Coturnix japonica: one gene and its partners. The protein of the gene in region 2 interacts with the protein of the main gene of each other region in a pairwise test. Links are inferred from orthologs where the notes say so. Each region holds a gene or a part of one and is shown on either strand. Other genes may lie near its edges.

What was found.
Region 1: the proteins of NMI (region 2) and myotubularin-related protein 9-like interact in binary tests that used the Homo sapiens proteins (3 or more experiments, as listed by UniProt). The two-hybrid records come from large-scale screens. The link is inferred for Coturnix japonica from reciprocal best matches to the Homo sapiens genes NMI and MTMR9.
Region 3: the proteins of NMI (region 2) and TXLNB interact in binary tests that used the Homo sapiens proteins (3 or more experiments, as listed by UniProt). The two-hybrid records come from large-scale screens. The link is inferred for Coturnix japonica from reciprocal best matches to the Homo sapiens genes NMI and TXLNB.

What each region holds. Positions count from the first base shown.
Region 1 is NC_029538.1:4,519,501-4,526,830, forward strand, and holds myotubularin-related protein 9-like, read left to right. Parts: upstream 1-2,734; 5' UTR 2,735-2,843; intron 2,844-3,224; 5' UTR 3,225-3,424; intron 3,425-3,531; 5' UTR 3,532-3,538; coding exon 3,539-3,735; intron 3,736-3,887; coding exon 3,888-3,947; intron 3,948-4,194; coding exon 4,195-4,303; intron 4,304-4,514; coding exon 4,515-4,640; intron 4,641-4,776; coding exon 4,777-4,950; intron 4,951-5,029; coding exon 5,030-5,247; intron 5,248-5,338; coding exon 5,339-5,500; intron 5,501-5,580; coding exon 5,581-5,722; intron 5,723-5,799; coding exon 5,800-6,020; intron 6,021-6,172; coding exon 6,173-6,324; intron 6,325-6,457; coding exon 6,458-6,621; 3' UTR 6,622-6,869; downstream 6,870-7,330. Other genes in the region: protein FAM167B, read right to left, coding at 1,417-1,680, 2,069-2,350. UniProt on the Homo sapiens protein: Acts as an adapter for myotubularin-related phosphatases. Increases lipid phosphatase MTMR6 catalytic activity, specifically towards phosphatidylinositol 3,5-bisphosphate and MTMR6 binding affinity for phosphorylated phosphatidylinositols.
Region 2 is NC_029522.1:30,820,705-30,828,034, reverse strand, and holds the start of NMI (N-myc-interactor), read right to left. Parts: upstream 4,041-7,330; 5' UTR 3,907-4,040; exon of another isoform or gene 3,904-3,906; intron 3,740-3,903; 5' UTR 3,734-3,739; coding exon 3,689-3,733; intron 2,454-3,688; coding exon 2,379-2,453; intron 2,092-2,378; coding exon 1,933-2,091; intron 1,087-1,932; coding exon 979-1,086; intron 81-978; coding exon 1-80. UniProt on the Homo sapiens protein: Acts as a signaling pathway regulator involved in innate immune system response.
Region 3 is NC_029518.1:48,840,687-48,847,916, reverse strand, and holds part of TXLNB (beta-taxilin), read right to left. Parts: intron 5,276-7,230; coding exon 5,081-5,275; intron 3,461-5,080; coding exon 3,341-3,460; intron 1-3,340. UniProt on the Homo sapiens protein: Promotes motor nerve regeneration. May be involved in intracellular vesicle traffic.

The DNA of each region.
Region 1 (7,330 bases), on a different chromosome or scaffold from region 2:
ACACAATGGGCCACATGCTGTAGGGGGGCCGTGATGGGTGCGACGCTGTCACCCGAAAGGCTGCAGAGCCCCCCAGTCCCTTTAGAGCCCCCCAGTCCCCTTAGGGCCCCCTGGTCCCTTTAGAGCCCCCTTCCCAAAGCTCAGTGCTGTGGGACAGCAGTGGCAGCTCCGGTTGTGCCGTACCCCCACCAGACCCTGCTGGGCTGTGAGACACCTCCTGCACCCACAGCCCCACTTTGGCCATCACCACCACACGCCCCCCACACCTCAGTCCCCCAAGAGCAGCATTGACAGCTGAAATGGGGACAGACCGGAGGGGACGCCTCGTGCCCAGGCTGTGCCACACCACCAGCCCGGTGTTTTCAGAGACAGCTCTGAGCAGAGCAACCACAACGCTATTGTCTCGGCTTCCACCATCAAAGGCAAAGCCGCAGGTTCCCACCAGCTGCTTTGCAGCAGGGCAGGCAGAACCACCAAGCTGTGCCGGGGGGCACCGAGCGCTGCACCCACCCTTATGGGGACATTCCTCAGCCCCACACCCAGCGTGTTCCCCAGCACCATGGGTGCCCCTGGGCAAGGGCTCACTGCCAGCCCCTGCCATGTGCTGCTGCCTCAGGGGATCGTGCAGCTCTGCCTGTTTCCTCCTGGTACCCCAGAACGGTCCCTTGAACCATCCCACCACTTCCTGGGTCACCCCGTATCACCCCGGGGCAGTGCTTGCAAAATGTGTTTTGCCACACGCTAAGAGTGGCAGCTCCTTGGGCAAAGGGTTTGGTGTGAACAGGGGAAGGGCTAAGAATGGAAAAGCAAAGCCCTGCAACAAGGACAGCCATAGGCAGAGCCCACAGCGCCTCCAGCACCGGGGGTGGCCATGGGGTAGCGTGGGGCTGCCGAGCACTGAGCACAGCCCCAGAACCTCCAGGCCCCACAACCCACGCAGCTGTTGGCAGTGAGCACTTCCTGCAGCAGCGCAGCCCCAACACCCATCGCAGTCAGTTCGTGGGCAGGGGCTGGCAGTGGGGTCCTCACAGCAGAGACCCTTTTTTCCCCAGCGTGGATCCATCCCAAAGCAGAAACCATTGAGGAAACCAGCCCACAGGGCAGAGCTGGGAGCGGGTCCCCTCCTGGCACCCCAAGGGGTTGGTGGCACTGCAGGAGGCACCTGGTTGTGCACAGCAGGAAGTGCTTCTTCTCACCATCACCTGCTTTTATTCCTCCTCCAAGTGCTGCTCCCCACATCCTCCCCTGCCGCTGACCCCCACCACACACAGCACCCCACGGGATGGCACGTCTCCATTAGCACAAACAAGATGGAGCTCAGCCCTGAGCCCGATGTCCCTGCAGCGCTTTGGGGCACCTATGAGCCTCTCTCAACCCCCAGCTGCACCCATGGGTGCCCGCCGGGCCCCGCTGCACTCAGCAGAGGGAGAAGCGCCGGGAGTTGATGTTCATGCGGGTGACACCGATGTGCTTGAGCGGCATGGAGAGCAGGAAGGCGGCCTTGGGGGGGATGGTGCAGAGCAGATCCGAGTCCTCCTCGCAGCCCTCGAGGCCGAAGGTGGCGTCGTCCAGCATCTCCTTGTGCCGGTGGCAGACCTGCTCCACCTTCAGCCGGTTCAGCTGCGCCCGCAGGCGCATCAGCTGCTGTGCCAGGCGCTGGTCCGCAGCCTGCAGCTCCTGCTGGGGGGGAACGGAGCTGTCGGCAGGGGCTCAGAGCCAGCAGGGCTGCTGTGACAGCAGGGCTTGGTGCCAGAGCCTCGGGGAATCAGGAATACACACAGAGCCCACGTGTGCAGCACAGGCTGGGCACAGGGACTGGGATCTGCCCAGGTAGGTTTGCAGCCATGAGGCTGTTGCTGCCTGCACAAAGCAGCAGGGAGGGCTGACAAATGCAGAGCCACAACCCGCAGCGCTGGGCAGGGCAGGAGGGCAGAGCTGCAGCCCCGGGCACAACCCCACAAGCAGCGGCCGCGCTTGGAGCGGGAGCAGAGCTGTGAGCTGCAGCGGGAGCAGCCCTGGTGGGGTCAGGCACCGCCCCTCCGTGCCCCTCACCCTCAGCGTTACTCACCAGCTCCATCCTCAGCCACTGCAGAGCCTCCTCCATACCAGGGAAGCCACAGACGCTGCCGTCCCGCTCAGCCCCGGGCTGCCCCGAGGTCCCCTTCGCCCCCCGTGGGGTCGGGCTGCCCCAGGGCTGCCCCCGCACCCGCGCCTCCCACTCCAGGTACGAAGGGCGGCGGGTCTGCAGCTTCAGTTTGGCCGTGAGCGCCTTGACCCCAGCCAGGCTCTCCTCACCTGCAGCCGGTTCCTCCGCGCCCAGCTCAGAGAAGTTCACCTGGCCCAGGGCCATGGCTGCAGCCCGGCTCCCAAACCCCAAACGACCCCAAATCTCCAATTGCAGCTCCCAGCTCCCAGATCCCAAACCCCAGCGCACCCAGCAGGACGAGGAACGGCTGCGCCGAGTGCCGCCTATTTATCTACCCCCGGAACAATAAAGGTTGGGGATAATTATAACGGGCAGGAACTCGGCTTATCCAGAGGCGTGCAAAGAAGTTGCTTTTTGTTGTTGTTTTTATGTCCCTTTTCTTTCCTATTTGAGCGCCGCTGTCTCCGGTTGGGAGGCGGCTCCGTGTCCTCCCGGATGAAGCGCGGGGCGGTCGCGGGACGCGGTGCCGGGCTGAGCCGTCCCGCTCCACTCGCTGCGTGACACACCGACTTCCCGTCCGGGGCCGCTAAAAAAAGGGCGAAGGAAACGAGCAGCTCCACGTGCCCGCGGGGCGGAGTGCGGGGCCGTGGGCGCCCGGCAGCTGCGGGACAGCTGTGCGCTGCTGCGGGGCCTTAAGGTGGGTGCGGCGGCCCGGAGCCCCTCGCCCCCCGCTGCCGTCCCCTGACCCCACACGGCCCCGCTTGCTCCCGTTGCGGGGCTGCAAACGCGCGTGCACCCCCGGTGTGACCCCTCCCCGTGTCCCCTGACTCACTCCCCGGCCCCGCATCCACCGGCGGGGCCACCTTAACCCGCCCCCCCCCAGCGGCTCCGTTCCTGCTCAGCCCCGCACCCCGCGTGCCCCCTGTGTGCCCCCCGCCCGTCACCCCCCGGAGCCGTGGATCCATGGGCGGGGGTGGGTATTGGGGTTGGGGTGCACTGTGCGAGCCGCCCCCTCCTCCTCCTCCTCCCTTCTTCCTCCTTTTTCTCCCCTCTTCCTCCTCCTCCTCCCGCCCCACAGAACGGAGCCGATGTGAGGCTGCAGCCGGCCCAACTCCCCCCCAGGTGCCCCCCAGCCCGCACCGGGCGCGGCGTCCCTGCACCCACAGCCCCCCGAGCCCCGCGGGTCTCTGCCTCAGTTTCCCCACTGCGGTGACAGCAGCGCCGGGGAGGGGAGGAAACCAGCGCAGCTCAGCAGGGAGGAAGCGGCATCGGCTTTAGGTGACGACGCGAACGGGACGGGGGTGGCTGCACTGCGGGGAGGGACGGGGGGGTGGGGGGGCTCCAGCCGGGCTGTGCCGCTCAGGATTTCCCCTTTCTCCCTCCAGCACCGCCATGGAGTTCTCCGAGCTGATCAAAACGGCCACGGTGGAGAGTGTGCTGCTGTCGTGTGCGGGGCAGCCGGCGGTGAAGGGCACCCTGTGCATCACCAGCCACCACCTGCTGCTCTCCTCCTGCCCCGGCGGCGACGGGCAGCCCAGCGCCGTGGAGCTCTGGCTGCTCATCCGCAACGTGGACGCCGTGGAGAAGAGGTCGGTCCTTTCCCACCCTGTGTCCCCTCTTTGTCCCGTCCTGGATGGGGGTGATTCCCGGCTGCCCTCCCGGCACCGCAGAGCCTCCTCTCTCCTCTTCCCCATGGCCTGTGGCAGTGGCCATTGACCTCCTCTTCTCCTCCGTGCCCCAGAGTGCAGAATGTAGGCTGGTATCAGCCCCCCCACAGCAGCGGCTCCCCGCGGGACAACAGGTTTGGCTTTAGGTGCTCTCAGCTCCTCCATCTTGCCCGGCAGTGCCCGGCCCCACGCAGCTCAGTGGGGCGAGGATGGCTATGGCTGCTCAGAGGGGAGCTGGTGGGAGTCACAGCTTCAGGCACACCGAGATCCACCGGGAGCCCCGCTCAGTGCTGTGCCCTTCTCAGCCCCCCCGGACAGAGGGCAGCTCCGTGCTGTCTGCACGTGCAGCCCCTCCTGCCCTGACCCCGCTGCCCTCCCCAGGCTGGCCGGCTCCTCCGGCACCATCACACTGCGCTGCAAGGACCTGAAGGTGCTGCAGCTGGAGATCCCGGGCATGGAGGAGTGCCTGAACATCGCCAGCTCCATCGAGGTGAGCCGTGCCGGGCTGCAAAGGGTTCAGGTGGCTGCCCACGGTGTTTGCTCTGGGTCTGCCATTAACGTGGGTAAACACTCAGCTGCTCGGGCTGTGTTTGCATGGGGCACCCGCGCTGCCAAGTCTTGCAAGAAGGAACGGGGATGGGGTTTGCAGGGAGGACATTCCTGGCCTTCCCCCAGCTGTGCTGTGCTGTGCTGTGCTGCAGGCCCTCTCCTCGGTGGACTCCGTGATGATGATGTACCCCTTCTTCCACCGGCCCCAGACCCTGCGGCTGGAGGAGGGGTGGCCGCTGCTGCCCATGGAGCAGCACTTCCAGCAGATTGCCACGCAGGTTGGTCTTGGGGGGGAGGGAGGGTGTCACATCCCACCCTTAAGGAGAGGGAAGGGGTGACGGGATTGGTCCTTTACTCCTGGCTGGGGTGCAGGGGGAGGCCGCTCCCCCCTCCCACCTTCACATCTCCCCCCAGACCACCCAGTGGCGGCTGAGCGACGTGAACCAGGACTTCTCCATCTGCCCCACGTACCCTCCGGCCGTCATCGTGCCGGCGGCTGTGAGCGAAGAGACCCTGCGGAGGGCGGCCCGGTTCCGGCAGGGCGGGCGCTTCCCCGTCCTCAGCTACTACCACACCAGGAACGGCACCGTGAGTCCACATCCCGCCCCCCTTCCCTCTCCTCCCACCCCGCTGCCCGCAGGCGATGCCCGCAGCCCCCTTCCCGCAGGTGATGCTCCGCAGCGCGCAGCCGCTGACCGGCCCAAACCGCAAGCGCTGCCCGGAGGATGAGATGCTGCTGGGGTCGGTGCTGGACGAGGGCGAGCGGGGCTTCATCATCGACACGCGCTCAGCACAGACGGCCAAACAGGCGCGGATGACGGGAGGGGGCACGGAGCCCAAATCCTCGTACCCGCAGTGGAAGAGGCTGCATCGGCCGCTGGAGCGGTGAGTGCTGTGCTGAACTCAGCTCCAGCCCCAGCAGCACAGCCGCAGCCCCTCACCACGCTGCCTTCCCTTCTCCTCCCTCCCTGCCCAGTGGCCGCCCGCTGCAGGAGAGCTTCATCAAACTGGTGGAGGCCTGCAATGATGCTTCGCTGGGCATGGACCGCTGGCTGGGCCGGCTGGAGAGCTGCCGCTGGCTGAGCCACGTGAAGGCAGCTCTCAGTACAGCCTGCCTGGCTGCACAGTGCCTGGACAGGTAGGGGGCCGCGCATCCCTCCCCTCACCCCAAGGCCAATGCACAGGGTGCAGCTGGCTGAGCCTTGGCTGTGCCTGCAGGGAGGAGAGCAGCGTGCTGGTGCACGGGGCAGAGGGCACAGACACCACGCTGCTGGTGACAGCGCTGGCACAGGTGATCCTGGAGCCAGAAAGCCGCACACTGAAGGGCTTCCAGGGGCTGCTGGAGAGGGAGTGGATCCAGGTGAGGGGCAGCAGGAGCTGAGGTGGGGGTCCTGTGGTCTCCTGCAGCCCTGTTACCGCTACCACATGGTCCTGCAGGCTGGCCATCCCTTCCATCTGCGCTGTGCCCACTCCGCCTACTCACACGCACGGCTGAAGCAGGAGGCTCCGCTCTTCCTCCTCTTCCTCGACTGCGTGTGGCAGCTGAGCCGGCAGTTCCCCTTCTCGCTGGAGTTCAGTGAGGGGCTGCTCCTCACCCTCTTTGACAACGCCTACGCCTCCGACTACGGCACTTTCCTCTGCAACAATGAGAAGGAGAGGCAAGTGGCAGGGACATGGGGACAGCAGTGCCCCACGAGCGATGCCATTGTGCCCCAGAGCAGACCCTGATCCACAGGCACAGACCCCTGGGTCCATCAGTCACCATCCCGGGTCAGTCCCAGGACTGAAGCATGTCTCTGTTCTCCTGTAGGTGTCTGTGCAAAGTGAAGGAGAGCACACACTCCCTCTGGGCCTGGCTGGACCAGCCCGAGGAGAGGAAGAAGTACCTGAACCCCCTGTACTCACCCAACCCACTGGTCATCTGGCCCTCGGTGGAGCCCCAGAGCATCCAGCTGTGGCAGGGTATGGTGCTTCAAACTCAACCTCAGGCTTTCCCAACCCATCTGGGTTGCATGCAGTAGCTCTGCCTGTCGCTCCTGCAGCAGCACACAGCCCAGCTGACACAGCCCAGCTGACACAGCCCCTTGCCCCCTAGGCTTGTTCTTCCGCTGGATCCGCTCATCCCAGTACCTGGATGAGGCGTGGGCAGAGATATGGCGGTTGGTGGAGGGCAGCAACGCAGCTGTCAAGGAGAGCACAGAGAACAGGCTGAACCGCTCGCTCTCTGACCCCACTGCCCGGATGGAGAATGAAAGATGAGCAGCAGCACGAGCACCATGTCCTGGAGATCATCCCCATCACCGGGGGCTCATACACCAATGCAACACAGTGCTGCAGCTCTGCAGGAATCGCTGTGCAGGACACACAGCCTGCAGGGCCCAGAGGAGCCTGCAAGGGCCAGAACTGTAGGGACAGCCCTGGGAATGGGGGCCAGACTCAACTGAGCTCCCTGTCAGCCACGCAGCCTGAGCACATCCCAGTAAAGTGGTCTCTCTGTTTGCTCCTACTTTCCATGTGTGTTCTCTGGCCAGAGCTGGGCTGATCCTGCTCTGCTCTCCAGTAAGATTTCAGCAGCTCATACCTGGACCCAGCAGCTCTTGCTGCAGTGTACCTGGCTCGTGGGCCCTGCCCTGTGCCCAATGTACAGTTAGCAGAACACGCTAAGCTCACACCAGCCTCTCCATATCACTGCACACTGGCTGCAGGTTGTGTTACATCAGTTGCTCCAAGCTGGAAACCAGCCTGGGAGATCTGCCCTTGAACCCAGTTTCAAGGAAGGAAAGAGATAGAAACCACCCCTCCAGCCAGCAAGACAGAGGGATGGGGTCTGGAAGGATGAGGATTTGCAACACAACCCTCCTAGTGCAGGAAATAACTGTTCCATGAGGAAAGTTGGCTCAGGGTCAGTCCAGCCAATAAACAAAGCACTTGAACTGGGCGCGTGTCATCTGGAAAACAATGACTGGCA
Region 2 (7,330 bases):
GTGTTCATATCCAGAATGTCACCCTCTGTGTCTTCCATGCGAGTGAACTCCACTTTCATTTCTGCCACCCTTTTTTTAATCTAGTATTTTAGAATCAAGATAGAGAACAAACTTCATGTAATTTAATTTACAACAGGAAGTTGTAAAGTAAGTATGAGAGTCATCGCTATCGTTTCTTTTTACTTACTTGCATTATTGTTCTACAGCAATGGTGAATCTGTTCATAAATTACCTTGCATATTACCATCGTAGTAAAACAGAAGTATTTTATAATGAGAGTAGGTAAGAGTACTCATGAAAACATTGGTTAGGAAAGCCTACTTTAATAGATACCAGGGAGTTTCAGATGCGTCTCTTTCCCCTTTTGAAACTGTTTCAAAATAAAAGGAAAATACTGTTTTCCTCCAAGACAAAACAGCCTGAGCAATAAAAGCATTTCTGTCACCTATCTTCAAAACCAGCATCTTAACTCAGAGCTTGTTCTCTTTCTGTTCTCACTACTGCCAAAGGACTCATTCTTTCTGCCATCCTCACACCCAAGGAATACTAAATGTGAGCACTTGAAAATTAATAGCAATACTACGTGCATTTTTTACTCCAATGTCTTCCACTTAATTTATTTTCTACTTTTCTTCACTTTTCTCACTCATCAGTATCTCACACACTCATATTTGTTTCCATATCCTTAGTCTTTTTCACATTTTCTTGCCAAATAAAGTAAGAAAATAAAGCATCAAGCTGTACTTTATACTGAAATCAGTTGAGCTTTAAATGCTAAACCAGGCTGGATGTGGCTCTGGGCAGCCTGGTCTGGTGTTTGGTGACCTTGCACATAGCAGAGGGTTGAAACCAGATGATCATTGCGGTCCTTTTCAACCCAGGTCATTCTATGACTGTAAACAGCTGACCTCAACAGTCTAGAATTGACCAAAAATGTGTCCTTCTAAAATAATAACTGTAAAATATTGCAAGCATTACCTTACCATCCTGCGAGAGCGCTGAACAACATTCTGCAAGCTCTTCTTTGAGCTTCTCAATGTCTCTCTTCAGCTCAGAATTATCGTGGTCTAGCACACAAAGCTCTGTCTACAGCCCAAAAAGTATTAAATGCAAAATTAAACATACAGGAGATAGAAGTACGTTTCAGCAAAATCTGTAGATATTAGAAAGTGTTTCAGCTTTCAAATATTACCACCAAGCATGAGGCATTTTTCCATAACTTTACCTATCTGCAAGGCAAATGCACTCACCAAGGAGCAGTTTCAATCAAAGCAAATTACAGTAAGGACTTTCAAACAGAGTGTTGGTTTTTCCAAGGATATACTGCATACAATAAGTCACCCAGCTTGCAATATGGAAGCATAACTTGCTCATCAGTGGCTCTCAGGCTAAACAAAATGACACAGAAACCAGCTCTTTTACAGCCTGTGGAAAACTCTTTTGCTGTACTGACGACTTCACAGCACTCTGAGGTAATGAACCAATTTGTTCCAGAAAGAAGAGCCATCTTCAGACCGCGTTTGGCCTTTGCCCAGCTTACTGTCACTTAAGAAATGCCAATCCCTTGGGTGCTGTAACCTCGTCTAGGAGGTGCTGGGATTTAATGAAGCAATGGAAACAACCCATTCAGTCCCATTCAATTCTATCTTCATCACACAAAGCTGAAATATATCAGTTAGAGGAGAATCTTGGAAGACTGTTTTTTATCTTCATTTTCCACATAAGATCAGTCTCAGTTTCTCATTCCTGTAAGACTTATTTAATCGCACCAGTTCTTCATCTGACATTGAAAACCCATGTTTAAAATATTAGTCCCACAGTCTGCAAACTGGTAAAGCTATTTCAACTGGAATGGAAATATTACCTTCCCTAACCAATACTTCCCCCACAATTCCACCAATACTGACAGTCACGAGTAAGCCTTCTCCATACCTCATAGACGGCCTTAGACATGCCACTCTCTTTATTAAGTTTCTCTTGAGCATCCTTTAGCTCTGTCAGCTCATGCTGTATTTTCACATATTCTTCATTAGCAGTTGATATGCTATGTTGAAGGTCGGTTTTTGTTTTCTCAGCTTGTTCAAATCTTTCCTGGATGGTAAAAAGACTTTCAGATTTTCTATCTCCACAAGAACAAACAAAACCTTAGGGAAACCCTTTACTTGTGCTTAGTTTTAATGCTTTGGATAAATATTTCTCTTAGACTTGCAAGTGTAGCCACCACTGAGGTTAACGTAGGCATATAGCATTAAAGAACAGAGAGCATGTTAGACAAACATCTATTATGATGGGAGGGGAGTGGATTTAGATGTAGAAGAGCAGATTAATGCCCTTCCAGGTATCTTCCATCTAATTTCCACACACTTTGTAGAACTTGCCTTCCATTTCTCCAGTTCCTGTTTAAGACTTTCCATCTCTTCTGATGTGTCAGGAAGGTCAGCGGTTGTCACATGCTGTAGAGAAAAGACACACTGAGTTTTATTTCCCAGTTAGAGAATCATTGAAGTACTTCATAACCAAAGGTTCCTGTAAAACCTAGTACAAACTTAGTACAAAATGAACTACTTTCATGGCTGGACAGGACCAAAATCTAAGCAAATGGAAACTGGTCCATGCTCATTATTTTCTAACTATCCAGCTGGAAGCACTCACAGGTTGGTATGTTAATAAACCATAAAAGCAAGTGGCCTCTGTGTTCTTCTACTGAGAACTGAGCCCCCGAGTCCCACCGAGGTTTATCTGTAGGCTTTCTCAGCAGCTCCTCTAAGAGGGTGTATAGAGCCTGAAGAGAAGAAAGAGACTACAGAATGGGATGTTTCTAAGCTCGGTTAGATAAGGAATGGTAATATCAGGTGAGAGAAAGGCAACAGAAGAACTTCAGACTGCGAGCATGGCAGGGCAGAAGTTCACAAGCACAGGGAAGTGACAACTGGATAAAGCTCAAGAAGAGAGAAAATCTCTGTTCTGTTTTGTTTCTATGACTGCAATATTCTGCAAGGGGGAAAAAAAAAAAGAGAGAAAAAAAATCCAAAGAGACCTCGTGAAGCAATCCCTCCCTTTTACTTCAGATTACATAAAACTTGAATGTGAACCATGAAACTCAGGCTTGGAAAAGGCCTGTCAGATTATCTGGTTAATTCTCTTGATAATTCTGGGTTTTTCCTAAAAACAATAACATATAAAATATTTTTCCTCAACTACTTTGTCCAGTTTCAAAGTCCTGTTAAGCAACAGGGAAACCCCCATCTGCGTATCACTGAAAACCAGCAAATATTCCTTCACTCGTGGGAGTGAATGCAGGAAAGCAGAACGATGCACGTGCTGCAGCTGGAGCCTGATAAGAAAGGATGCCTGCTTGGTAGGGAAAATGCACTAAGGCAGCAATATTCAACCTGAAGGGAAAAAAAACAACAGGAAAACACAAGAAATCCAGGATTGGACTCTCCTATGGAGACAGAAGGCAGGCAGGAAAGGAAGCACAAGGCCAGGCCCTAATGCAGTGCAAGGTGCAGAGCTGGTGCAACGTCACCTGGAAGTGAAGGTGTGATTAAAGGAGGTGGATGAGGAATGCCCCGAGTACTGAAGGGTGGAATGCAGTGGGACAGGGGTTTGAGGAGCACTGTCCCAGCACTCCAAGCACAAATCTGCACTCCGAGAAACCAAATACAGAGCATCAGGAGCTACTCACCAAACCATTATCTCCCGAAGAATACGGTGGGTTTGTTGAATCCATTGCAACCTGAGGGGAAAAAAATGACAAAGTTATGCCTTATAGCTCTAAATGTGGCAAACAGCTCTGAATGAAATACCATATAATGAGCCAACATCGTCTAAAAGAAAGGAATTAGATGCAACAATGATATATATAGGGAGCTTCATGAGCCCCCCGGCCCCACACAGCGCTACCTGCGGATCTCCCGTCGGGATGGCTCTCCCTCCCCCCTTCCCTCCCACAGCCGCCGGCTTCTGCTTTCGCTTTCCCTACTGCTGGAGGAGGAGCCGGAGGTTCCCCAGCTGCTGCGGGCTGTGGTGTCACCGCTCCCCTTCCTCGAAATCACGTGAAGGAAGGAAGGTGGTTCCTCCATCCTCCTCCTCCTCCTCCATCCTCCTCCTCCATCTGCGCGGCGCTGAGCTGCCGGGGCAGGAGACGGAGGGGAGCTGGTGGGCACTCTTGGCTGGGAGCTCATGGCTCAGCCTGTGGGTTTTCCTTTGTGTCTTCAGGCTGGTTTTGCTGGATTTGGTCATTCTAAAGCGCTCTGGAAACAACTTTGTGTTCTAAAGAACAGGTTGCTGGGAAGTGGTAAAAGGCATCAGCGGTTGGTGACAATCAATTGCTGATAGAAGTGCTGCACTGTAATAAACAACTGCTGGAAAACACAAATCTCTGAAAACTGAGAGGTGGGCGATGGCCATGAGCAGCTCCTTGGGGCTGAGGCTGCCCGCCATCTTGGGGACCGCCCGCCATCTTGGGGACCACCTGCCATCTTGGGTCCAAAGTCCATTGGGGTGGCTGCCCTCTCTTATCAATCAGATAAGCACAGTTGCTTTATGAACCTTTCACTATATAAATATTCCATGAGCACAGAAGTGCTCAGTGACTGATGCATTTGGAATGGGGCAACAAAGATGGATAGTCTATAACCAAGCCAACTACGTGGGGTGGGTTGGACTTTTCCAGCCTTAACTGTTCTGTGATTCTAACTGTACTTGCACAGCACTGGGTAGAGGAGAGCTTCAGCACACATGGAAATCAGCTTTGAGAAGCCAGAAAATGTGGGCTGCTGTGAATTATCTTAGCAGATGTTCACTGTCTCAGCCAATGGGCACTCATTCTCTAAAAAGACCTCACGGAGTATCTTTTTTAGGTAAAAATAAATAAAATGGGGTAGATTTCCATGATTATAAACTTGAAGTAGAGAAAGCTCTGTCTCTTCCTTTACAAGGACTATAGAAGCCTAGGTTTCCTGAGCGATCCTTCTTTACGTAGTATGTAAAGGAAAGGATCTCACATGGATCCTGAGATGCGTACAACTGACTTCATTCTGCAGATGACGTTGGTGGGACAGGCTGAACTCATGGTGGGAGCTGTGCGAAGTGTGTGTGCTTAAACATGGAGAAGTGAAAGAAAAGAGAACCACAGTTGTCTTTCATCAGCTCTTGGATTCAGGAGCAGACTGTGTCCAAGACTGTAGCCAGGCAGTCAGACACCGATGGAGTTTGAGACGGTTAATGTCCATTTAGATACACATAGCAGATGAGCTGCAGTCATGAACAAAATCTGGGGAATGTCTGTGTCCTAGGCCAAAAAAAAATGAGGGAAAAAGCATGTCAAGATTCCTTGAAGGCTGAGCTGAATAACCTTTTGAATGGTACCCCCAAAGCTGCAACCAGACTTTGTTCATTGGCCGGAATAGTTTGCATAGTTAGCAGTCAGTTGGTGCTGACTGCTGAAGTTAATTAGTTTTCAGAATTTCAACTTATGCCAAATCGATGGATAAAGAGTTAGCGGTCACCTTGTGCCACCAAATTCAGAAGGAGCTCTACCCATAGGGAAATTATTATGACAGTTTCAAATGTTCTTATCTGATCAGCGGATGAAACTGTGACCCTGTATTATTTTTTTTTTTTTTGTAATTATTTTTCTGCCTTGACAATGGATAACTGTTTACTATTGCTTTGTAAACACAATGTTGGTTACTAATGAGATGAGTAAAAGGGAGAGGTTTAGCTGGAGTAGCCAGGGAGGAGGAGGAGGTGATTATGTTATGACCTAAGTACATCAGATTTCAGAATTAAATGTCAGGGTGGCAGGCTGTTCTCCAGTAACCATAATCATGATGGGAAGTCACCATGGATCTGAAAAAGCCTCCTTTCTCTTAAACTCCAGGGAATGCAGCAAAGCCAATCTGTTTACATGGCCTGCTTTGGGATTTGCACTGAACAATGTGTTTGTGCTTGTTTTGGGAAGGAGATACTGGACTGGAGCAAGTGCCTTAACTCTGGAGTTGACTTCGAGTTTGTTTGTTAGCTGATTTTCTATGAATTCAGTGTTAACCACATATGAATCAATGTAATGGGAAAAGCGTTGATTTCATAACTCTGAAGAATCTAGCTAAAGGGGAATATCAAGGAGTACAACGTAGTATAGAGTATGAGAAGCTTTAAAACTCTTGGGATTTCTGTGAGCAGACTGCATTGATACCAGACTTGTTCTTTAGGAATCTGAAAAGGCTCTTGATAAACCTAGAAATGTGAACTGGAAACTTCAAAAGAGAACCTAGATCCTTCCAGCAGCACAGTATTGGAACTCAGCTATAGCAGGAAATACCCTGATTAAGCTGGAAGAGCGTTTACAGCCATAAGTCTTATTTTTTATTCGTACCTAAACAAGTTGACCATGCCTCAGTATGGTAAGAATCTGATGGCCTTATCTGCAGAGGGAGAGGATTTGGGTTCTTTTCAAGTCAGAATAGATCTGAAGAAGGAAGTGAATAGAATTAAGTGCTTAGTTCATAGCTGTGATCATGAAAACCTTGCTCAGTGCCTGACCCTTGAACCTGGCTACAAAACAACCTTGTTCTCTAGATAGGTCTAGTAGCATCTCAGTGCAGGCAGTTCTTGGATTCTTTAGCTTAATATTAAGGAGCCAGATTCAACCACTGAGGTGTTCCAATGGTGCTTTGATGGATCTTGGGTATTTTGATGGAACCTTATTCCACAGCTATCCAGTGTGTTTGGTGCTTCCTTTCAAAACCAGCTAGCAAAGGCTTAGCGCTCCCCTCAGCTTCTTTTCTCTGGGACAAGCAAACCAAGGGACCTCAAGCACTCCTCACATCCTCTGCCCTCAAATCTTGTCCATCTTTGCAGCCCTCCTTTGGATGCTCTCTAATAGCTTCACATCCTTTTGATATTGCAGTGCCCAGAACTGCACACAGTGCTCCAGCTGAGCTCAAATTCCACTAAGTGGAGTTCAGAGGTATGATTCCTGTTAATGTGTTAATTTCACACATTCAAAAATAGAAAACAGAGACCCCATGCCCCAGAACAGCCAGTGTCTTGTGGTCAGATACTGTCAACAGCAGAGAGCATTGTGTTTGACCCCTCTGCATGAATGGATGTGTTGCAATGCCTTGCAGTTCTTCCAGCTGTCAGGCTGCCTTAAGGGGAAGATGACAACCTACAAACAACCTACAAACCCTGGTCAAACAGAGATGCCTCCTATCTGTCCTTAGTGCCAGGGCCTGGAGAGGAGCAGATCTAAATCTTATACATAGTGTATTGTTGGTAGCTGTAGGTGATCTTTTATGCAGTGTGCTGACAGTTCTAATGT
Region 3 (7,230 bases), on a different chromosome or scaffold from region 2:
AAAATCTAAGAGTTAATAAACTATTCTGTAAGGGAAGCAAGCCTCAGACAGGTTTGCTCAAATTAACGTGCAGCCTGGGGTCATCTGCAAACACCAAGCTGAGAGAAACTGCATCAGGAGAACTGATACATTTATTAATTGGCTACGAAGTAGTAACAAGGAGGCTGTAGTATAACGAAACGAATAAATATTGAATGTGGGGTTTACAAAACAGCAATTCAGTGAAGTGTGGTGATGTTATACAATATCATTAGAGCTATGATAGCTTCTGGAAGCCCAGGCAGTCATATCATGCTCACAGCTAAAAGAACAAGAACACTCATTCCCATTTAATGACATAGATCTAGGGAATGGCTTTGTGAAAAAAAGGTTTCCCTCTTTTTTTGCTGCCGTAGTTTTCATATTCCAATTATGTAGACATCTGATCATTACCTTTCAGTCACACTCTTCAAAGTCACAGGGGCTTTAAACTGCAATTAACTGCAGTTCAAAGTTTGCTTTATGAGTGCTAAAAACATATGGTGTGTTGGGGAAGTCACAAATAGTGCTGAGCACTTATAGGATGATGGTAAAACTGCATATTTAGATCAGGCTGACACTTTGGGGGTCATCATGCTGCTATGCAGTATGGATGATTGCTACTTACACAGGGGACTGCATTCTTGCTTTTTGTGTGGAGTGAATTGTGCAAGCAATAAGACAGTTCTGTAAGGGATTCTGTCTATTGAGCTGTGATGTTCAGGGTCTGCAGGAGAGGACATCTCTCCCTAAATGAGGTAAAGAAATTTTGTATAGGAGCAAAGATTCCTGTATGAAAGAAATGCGTAGGAAAACATCAAAGTGAGCCTCCAAGGAGTAATCAAATAGATAAAGAATACAGAAATTTTCATTTAAAGACATTTGAAAAGTCCTGCAGCAAAACTCATGCATGAGGATGTAAAAAATTTGTATGCAGAGAACTGGTATGGACAGGATACTGAGATGTGGTAGGGCTCTGACTGTGCAGTTGAGCTAATGAGAGGTAACCCTAAATGGAAGGACTCAATCAGAAACATCTTAATTCCACATACATATACATACATACATACATACATACATATATATATATATACACACACACACACACACACACATTCTCTCACACAGTAGCTGAGTGGGTGGGAGTAAGAACTTGGCATTATGAGTGAGGTGGGAGACGAGTTTAGGCCAGCTCTCTGGGTGCTGGGCTGTCTGTGATAAATTGGGATTTGCTAGTTATGCCTTGACTCGCTGCATGGCTTTTGGCCAGTCACTTATATTCTCCAGCCAAAGCTACCTTGCTCCAAAGTGATGTTACTAATGTATCACCTGACTCCCTCTAAGGCAAGTCTTTTTGAACATTAGCTTCAATAGTGTGAAAAAAAGTCTTTGAACACAGTGTGTATCATTATACACCCACAGCTTAAAGGCTTTGTAGCTTGTTTTTGAACCTGCTATTTCATAGATGCTAATCGTACATTCAGCAAAGCCACAAAGGAAATCTCCCACTCCTGTATGTGTGTAGATGGAGATGATTTTCGTTGCTTTATAAGAAATGAAAATAACTGAACTATGCATATCTGCACTGAATAAATTGTAGTGAGAAACTTTGGCTACAAACTTGGCCAGTCACAGTAGCACACAGCCCCAAAATTCTCTGAGCAGAGGAAGAAGAGTCGCTGATACATGGCTGTGTGTGGGTTTTCTTCAGAGTCACAGAGTCAGTGCCCTGCCTTTTGTGTCTTTTTTTTTTTCTCTCTCTCTTTTTTTTTTTTTTCCCCACTGTCTGAAATCTGGGTCTTAGTAAGAAGACTCACAATGGCAGCAGTAAAATAAACCCAAATTTGTTTTTTGTTGTAAGGGATTTATTGTAAATGCTCCCTGCACTTTGAATATACTAAATCTGCTGAGGTTCTACTGTCATGAAGAAAATTTTGGGTTCTGGCTTTACACAGACCCCACAGTGAAAGAGCAGGTACAGCCAGACCATGCACTGTCATACAGGGACACACCAGTGTGCACTTGGAGAAGTCCTGGCTGCTCTTACTTTTCAGTTTTTAGCTAGCAGAAAAGATTTGTAACCTACTCTAGGGAACCTGCTTTGTCAGGGTTTTGGACTAGCTGATCTCCAGAGGTACCTTCCAATCTCTGTGATTAAGTGGGACTGGGTGTCCCAGCCACAAAGGCAGTGCAGAGAAAGAGGATGAACAATTTTTGGTGAGAGGTGTTTGCTGTATTTCCTTTGTACATGATCCCATAGTTTTGTCCACAGTCACCATCCCTGGAAGTGTTCAAGAAACATTTAGATGTTGTACTGAGGGACATGGTTTAGTGGGAAAATATTAGTGCTAGGTGAACAGCTGGACCGGATAATCTTGGAGGTCTTTTCCAACCTTGGTGATTCTATGATTCTGTGGTATTTAGGCTATGCTGGTGCTAATGCATCTCTTTCCAGACGTGGGGATGGGATAAAAATCCTGTCAGAATTCTTTGATGCAACTCCTGAGCTGGTCAGAAGACTGCTAAGGACTACAGGTTCCTTCCAGCTGTTGAGATTTTCCCTATGTGTAGCCTGGGAAGCTGCCACTGCTGAGAAGAGGGTCTCTGTGCCAGTGGAGAATGCTGGTAGATGCTAGGTAGTTGTGAAAATGCTAGGCAGCCTGAGGAAGTACGTTTTGAACCATCATGGGGAGGGAGGCTCTGCAGAAGAGAATCACAGAACATCTATCTAGAATTGGAATGGGCCCACAAGGATTATCATGTTCCAACTCCTGGTTTTACACAGGATGGCCCAAAAGTTGGACTTGACTGCAGCAGCTCCTGTTCTCCTACATTTATAAAACTGGACACACAGGAGAATGATTGAGGAGGCTCTGAGCCTGGGGGGATATTGGCCTTCAACTGATTCAATCACAAGACCTTGTTCCCCTCCCTGCTTGTTTAAATGTGATCATTTACCATGTGAGGAGATGGAGTATCAAATATCAGAGCCATTTGAAAACTGATGGCATCATCTGACACATCGTGACAAATCATTAGAGCAGTAGTAGTGAGTTTGCTGAAGGAGTCTGTGCTATAACCTACTGCACACAAACTTCAAAATCTATAAATGCTCCTGAAAGTAGCTTTTCAGATGCTACTCCTTTACATCAAGCACTGGCAGTAGTAATAAATCCTTCTCTTATGCTACTCTGCTTCTGTGTCATGGCTTGGACCAGAATAATCAAATGTTAGTGAAATAGCATGCAGCTCTCATCTTGGCCTTAAGTTAGATTAAGAAAAGTAGATTAAGTTAGAAAAAATAGATTAGCATGATAAGTACATATTCCTTTTCCTTCTGATGTCGCTCCTCTGCTTCCTTCATCATTTCCTGAGACTGCTCCAACTTGGCATCCACCAATTTCTGTTGAAGTTCTCTGTGCTTAAATATTTTGTCAAGGTGCTGCAAGAGAATAGATTCTGCTGAATGTGCACGTTTAGTTATGTACACAGACACTCATGCTCATGCATGCACAGCTATCTACTGGGACACAAAAATATTGCAAAACAGGAAGTTTCCCAACCCACTGCAGCTATGAAAAAGCCATGGTGCTGATAAGAACAAACTGTGCCAGAATTTGCATAGGAAAAGAAATGTGTTTACATCATCTATTTTGATGTGTAACCAGCCCCCCAAAACAAACAAACAAACAAAAAACAACAACAAAACCAACAACAGCAAACCCTCAGCATCTTTTCCAGTTCCACGATACGCATATAAAGTCATCTGTATAATCCAGTATAATTGTAGATCATAAAACTGCCCATCAATTAGAAACATGTGGGGGAAGCACTGTTTTTGGAGCTGCAAAGTAGCCTGTGGTTCTAAGCCACTGCGTGGGTAAATGTGTGATGACAGATTGCACCTCCAGTGCTGAGGGAGTGTGTGTGCAGCTCCTCCTGTATATATATGTCTAGTACATCCCATTGGATCTGGCCTCACATGGATAATGTGGGCCTGGAGTGCTTGGGTAAATGAGAGGGGAAGTGGGACAGATGAGGTCTCCTATGGCCTGTAAAACTTCTGGCTCCAGTGACTTTCAGGAAGTGAGTACTGCTGATATCACTCTTCACTGCTGCAGCATTTAGATAGAGCTCAATATTCTGAGCACATCCTTCTGCTTTACATTTTCCTTTCATAGAAACCACAAGACAGGAATGTACGTTCCCTTCTTTCAGCGCAAGACTTCATACAAGATGCAACAGATTTAGAAATTAGTGTATTGTATCAGGCATTCCAGATTGTGAGGACAGGTTACTCATGTTTTATTCAGTGTGATAATGTTGTCTGGTTTCACTGAGCCACACAATAAGCACATTTGGAAACAATAAAAAGACCCACTGCAATATGTGCTAGTGTTTGTCATTAAACCACCACAGAAATGGGAGCTTGGGAATTTTCCAGAGGGCTTTTGGTGTTAAAATTTCCTGAACTGCTCTAATGTTTATATTTAAAGATGTAATTTTCAATTCATCTATTGTCGATTTTACTGTAAATGTTATTCCTGCAAAGAAGAGTCTGTTCCAATGCAAAGGACCCGCTTTACCTTTGTTATTAGCTTTGTTTCTGGGGAATGGTCACCTCAGCAACCTGTGTCTGGGGGGATCAGAAATATATCTGGCTGTGGGCCGGGCTGTCCAAAAAGGTAGAACTGAGAGGTGCTTTATGAGCACTCTGGGGTCCTTTGGGACTAGGAGAGCAGCAAGTGAATGGGGGTAGAGATTAGCAGGCAGCTTTCCCATCTTGCTACATGGGAACCTCAGTCCCTTTTCCCACCACCATTATAACTGCCATGAGTACTGCATGCAGGGTGCCATCAGGTCAGCTTTTCACCCACATATTCCATGTGGCATCCTGCTGGCTCGATGCATACAGGCCCCCAACTGGACAGCAAAGCACAGCAGAAGCTACCCATGAGATGCCCAAACGATAGTCAGTGGGGATGACATGTTCACAGTGCTTTCCACTTCCCTCCATGGATCTGGGTTTGCTGCTGGTCCCTATGGGCATTGCAGTGCTCACCTCTTCCCGCAGCTCGTACTGGTCAATAATGCTTTTCAGCTTCTCTGCCAGCTCTGTGTTCTCCTGGCAGAGCTTCATGTTCCTCTCACTTTGCTGCTCAATCTGAGCCTGTATTTCACTCAGCGTGCCCTGGAAATGATTTGTTATTTCTTTCCTCTTCTCATCTTCCTCCCGTGCCCGCTGAATTGTTTCCTCCTGAAGTTAAGTAGAGTAAGAAGACAGTAGGGTAAATAAGATGCATAACACAAGTGGTTCTGAAAAGCTGTTTCAGAGTAGCACAAGGCTACTCTTTGAAGGATTATCTGTGTCTGTATTCCCCTTCAGAGATTTTCTTGCTTTCATGTGCTCCAACATTAGGCATGATGCTGAATTATGAGAGCAAATTATACAGTGGTCTTGAAAAAATTACATAACTACGAATTTGCATGTATAAAGATGGATGTAAAGCAGAATTTCAGATCAAAGTAATCCCTGAAAAGGGGATGTTCATGCATGCCTTAGTTCATGAAACTGCAGCACAGCTTTTGCTTTGGAATAAGATATTTAGTGCAAGTCGTTGAAAACCCTTTTATCAAATTTCTTTTTGATTTATTTTAAAATCCACTCTTTTAAAATGCCTCCTTTTAACTAGAAATCTTCATATCAAATTTATGGAATTTGAGATTTCCACTTTTAAAGAGGGATTATTTTCTGTAGAATCCCTTTGCATTCCACAAGTTTCCTTCCCTTTCCTTCTAATTGACAGATATTGGGATGGGGGTAGAAACGAGGAAAGCTCATGGGCTGGCTCTCAAAGAATCAAAGCAGAGAATCAGAACCTGGCTTGAAGAAAGATTGATGGATTATGTTTTCACCAGTTATTGCAATTCTGTTTTGGATTTTGTTTTATTTATGGAAGGGATTGGGGAAATAATTTAGATCCATTGCTTTCAATCAAGAAGTATGGACAACTTTATTTCCCTCTTGTTTACTTCCAGGGCAGCCTGCCCTGATGGTGAATGCCATCCTCATACTAAATACCTAGTATCATATCTACTGTTGTTACAAATCATGCCAGAACCATTTTAAGAAATCTCTCCACAGCATGCAAATGGCATGCATACTCTAATAAAGCTTCAACTATTTCAACTATTCATTTACATAAAAACCTCTGATAACACTGCATATGCATATTTTCTGTAAATATATCTGAATAAAGCTTTTGCTGACTCGAATGAGGTATAATTCATATCATAAATGTGACAGAAAGGGTGTTGATTCAGGTCCTATTCTTAAACTAAGCTGAATACCAAGTGCCCCAGCTCTACTTAGCATGCAAATCACAAGACTGATCTTGAACAACTGCTGCTCAAGGTAGAGGACGTTTGTCCTTTTGCTGCCAGAATGTTATAGAGATGACAAAGCCTTGGATGACAGGAGGAAAACTGCTGGAGCCATCTGTTAATGATACAGTAATGGGCAGAAATCACTCTGAAATTGTGTTTGTGCTGTGAACTTTGCACAAGAAAATGTGTGTGTGCTCACAAACAGAATAGAACAAAGTGTGACTCCAGAAGGGCTTCCACTCAGAAGAGGTGGAATTACAGAGGGAGCTGGGCAGTGGTTCGGATATAAGGGATTCCTGCTTCAGAACCTGGAGTCAAAATTGAACACAAAAACTTGAGCTCCTTCATAGATTTAGTTAAATCAGAAGTTCATTTTACCTCTCATTTGCTGATTAAAAACTGTTCATGTCTCTTTCTTCTCCATGGCATAGATGCAGCCCTGAGCAGGGAGAAGAGCAACAAGGTGCCCTCACTTCAGGAAAGTCAAAGACAGACTGAGAAACTAAACTTGTATGTCTGGAATCTTATTTCCATTGCTTTGAAACACCCTTCCTCAAACATATTTTTTTCTGTTTTAATGGACCAAAGAGTGTCATAGCATAATATCATTGCTGTGATTTAAATCTCACTGGAGTAATAAATGAAGCTGAATATAAAATGAAAAACTGGTGTTTTGCACTGAAGTCACACTGAACAGCTCTGGTATGAGGTGAAATTAGATGTCTTGGAAGTAGCAATCATGCAAATCCACATATATATATATATATATATATATTTTTAAGAAAAGGGAACGTGTTACAGAGGATCTTGCATCTTGCTCATCCT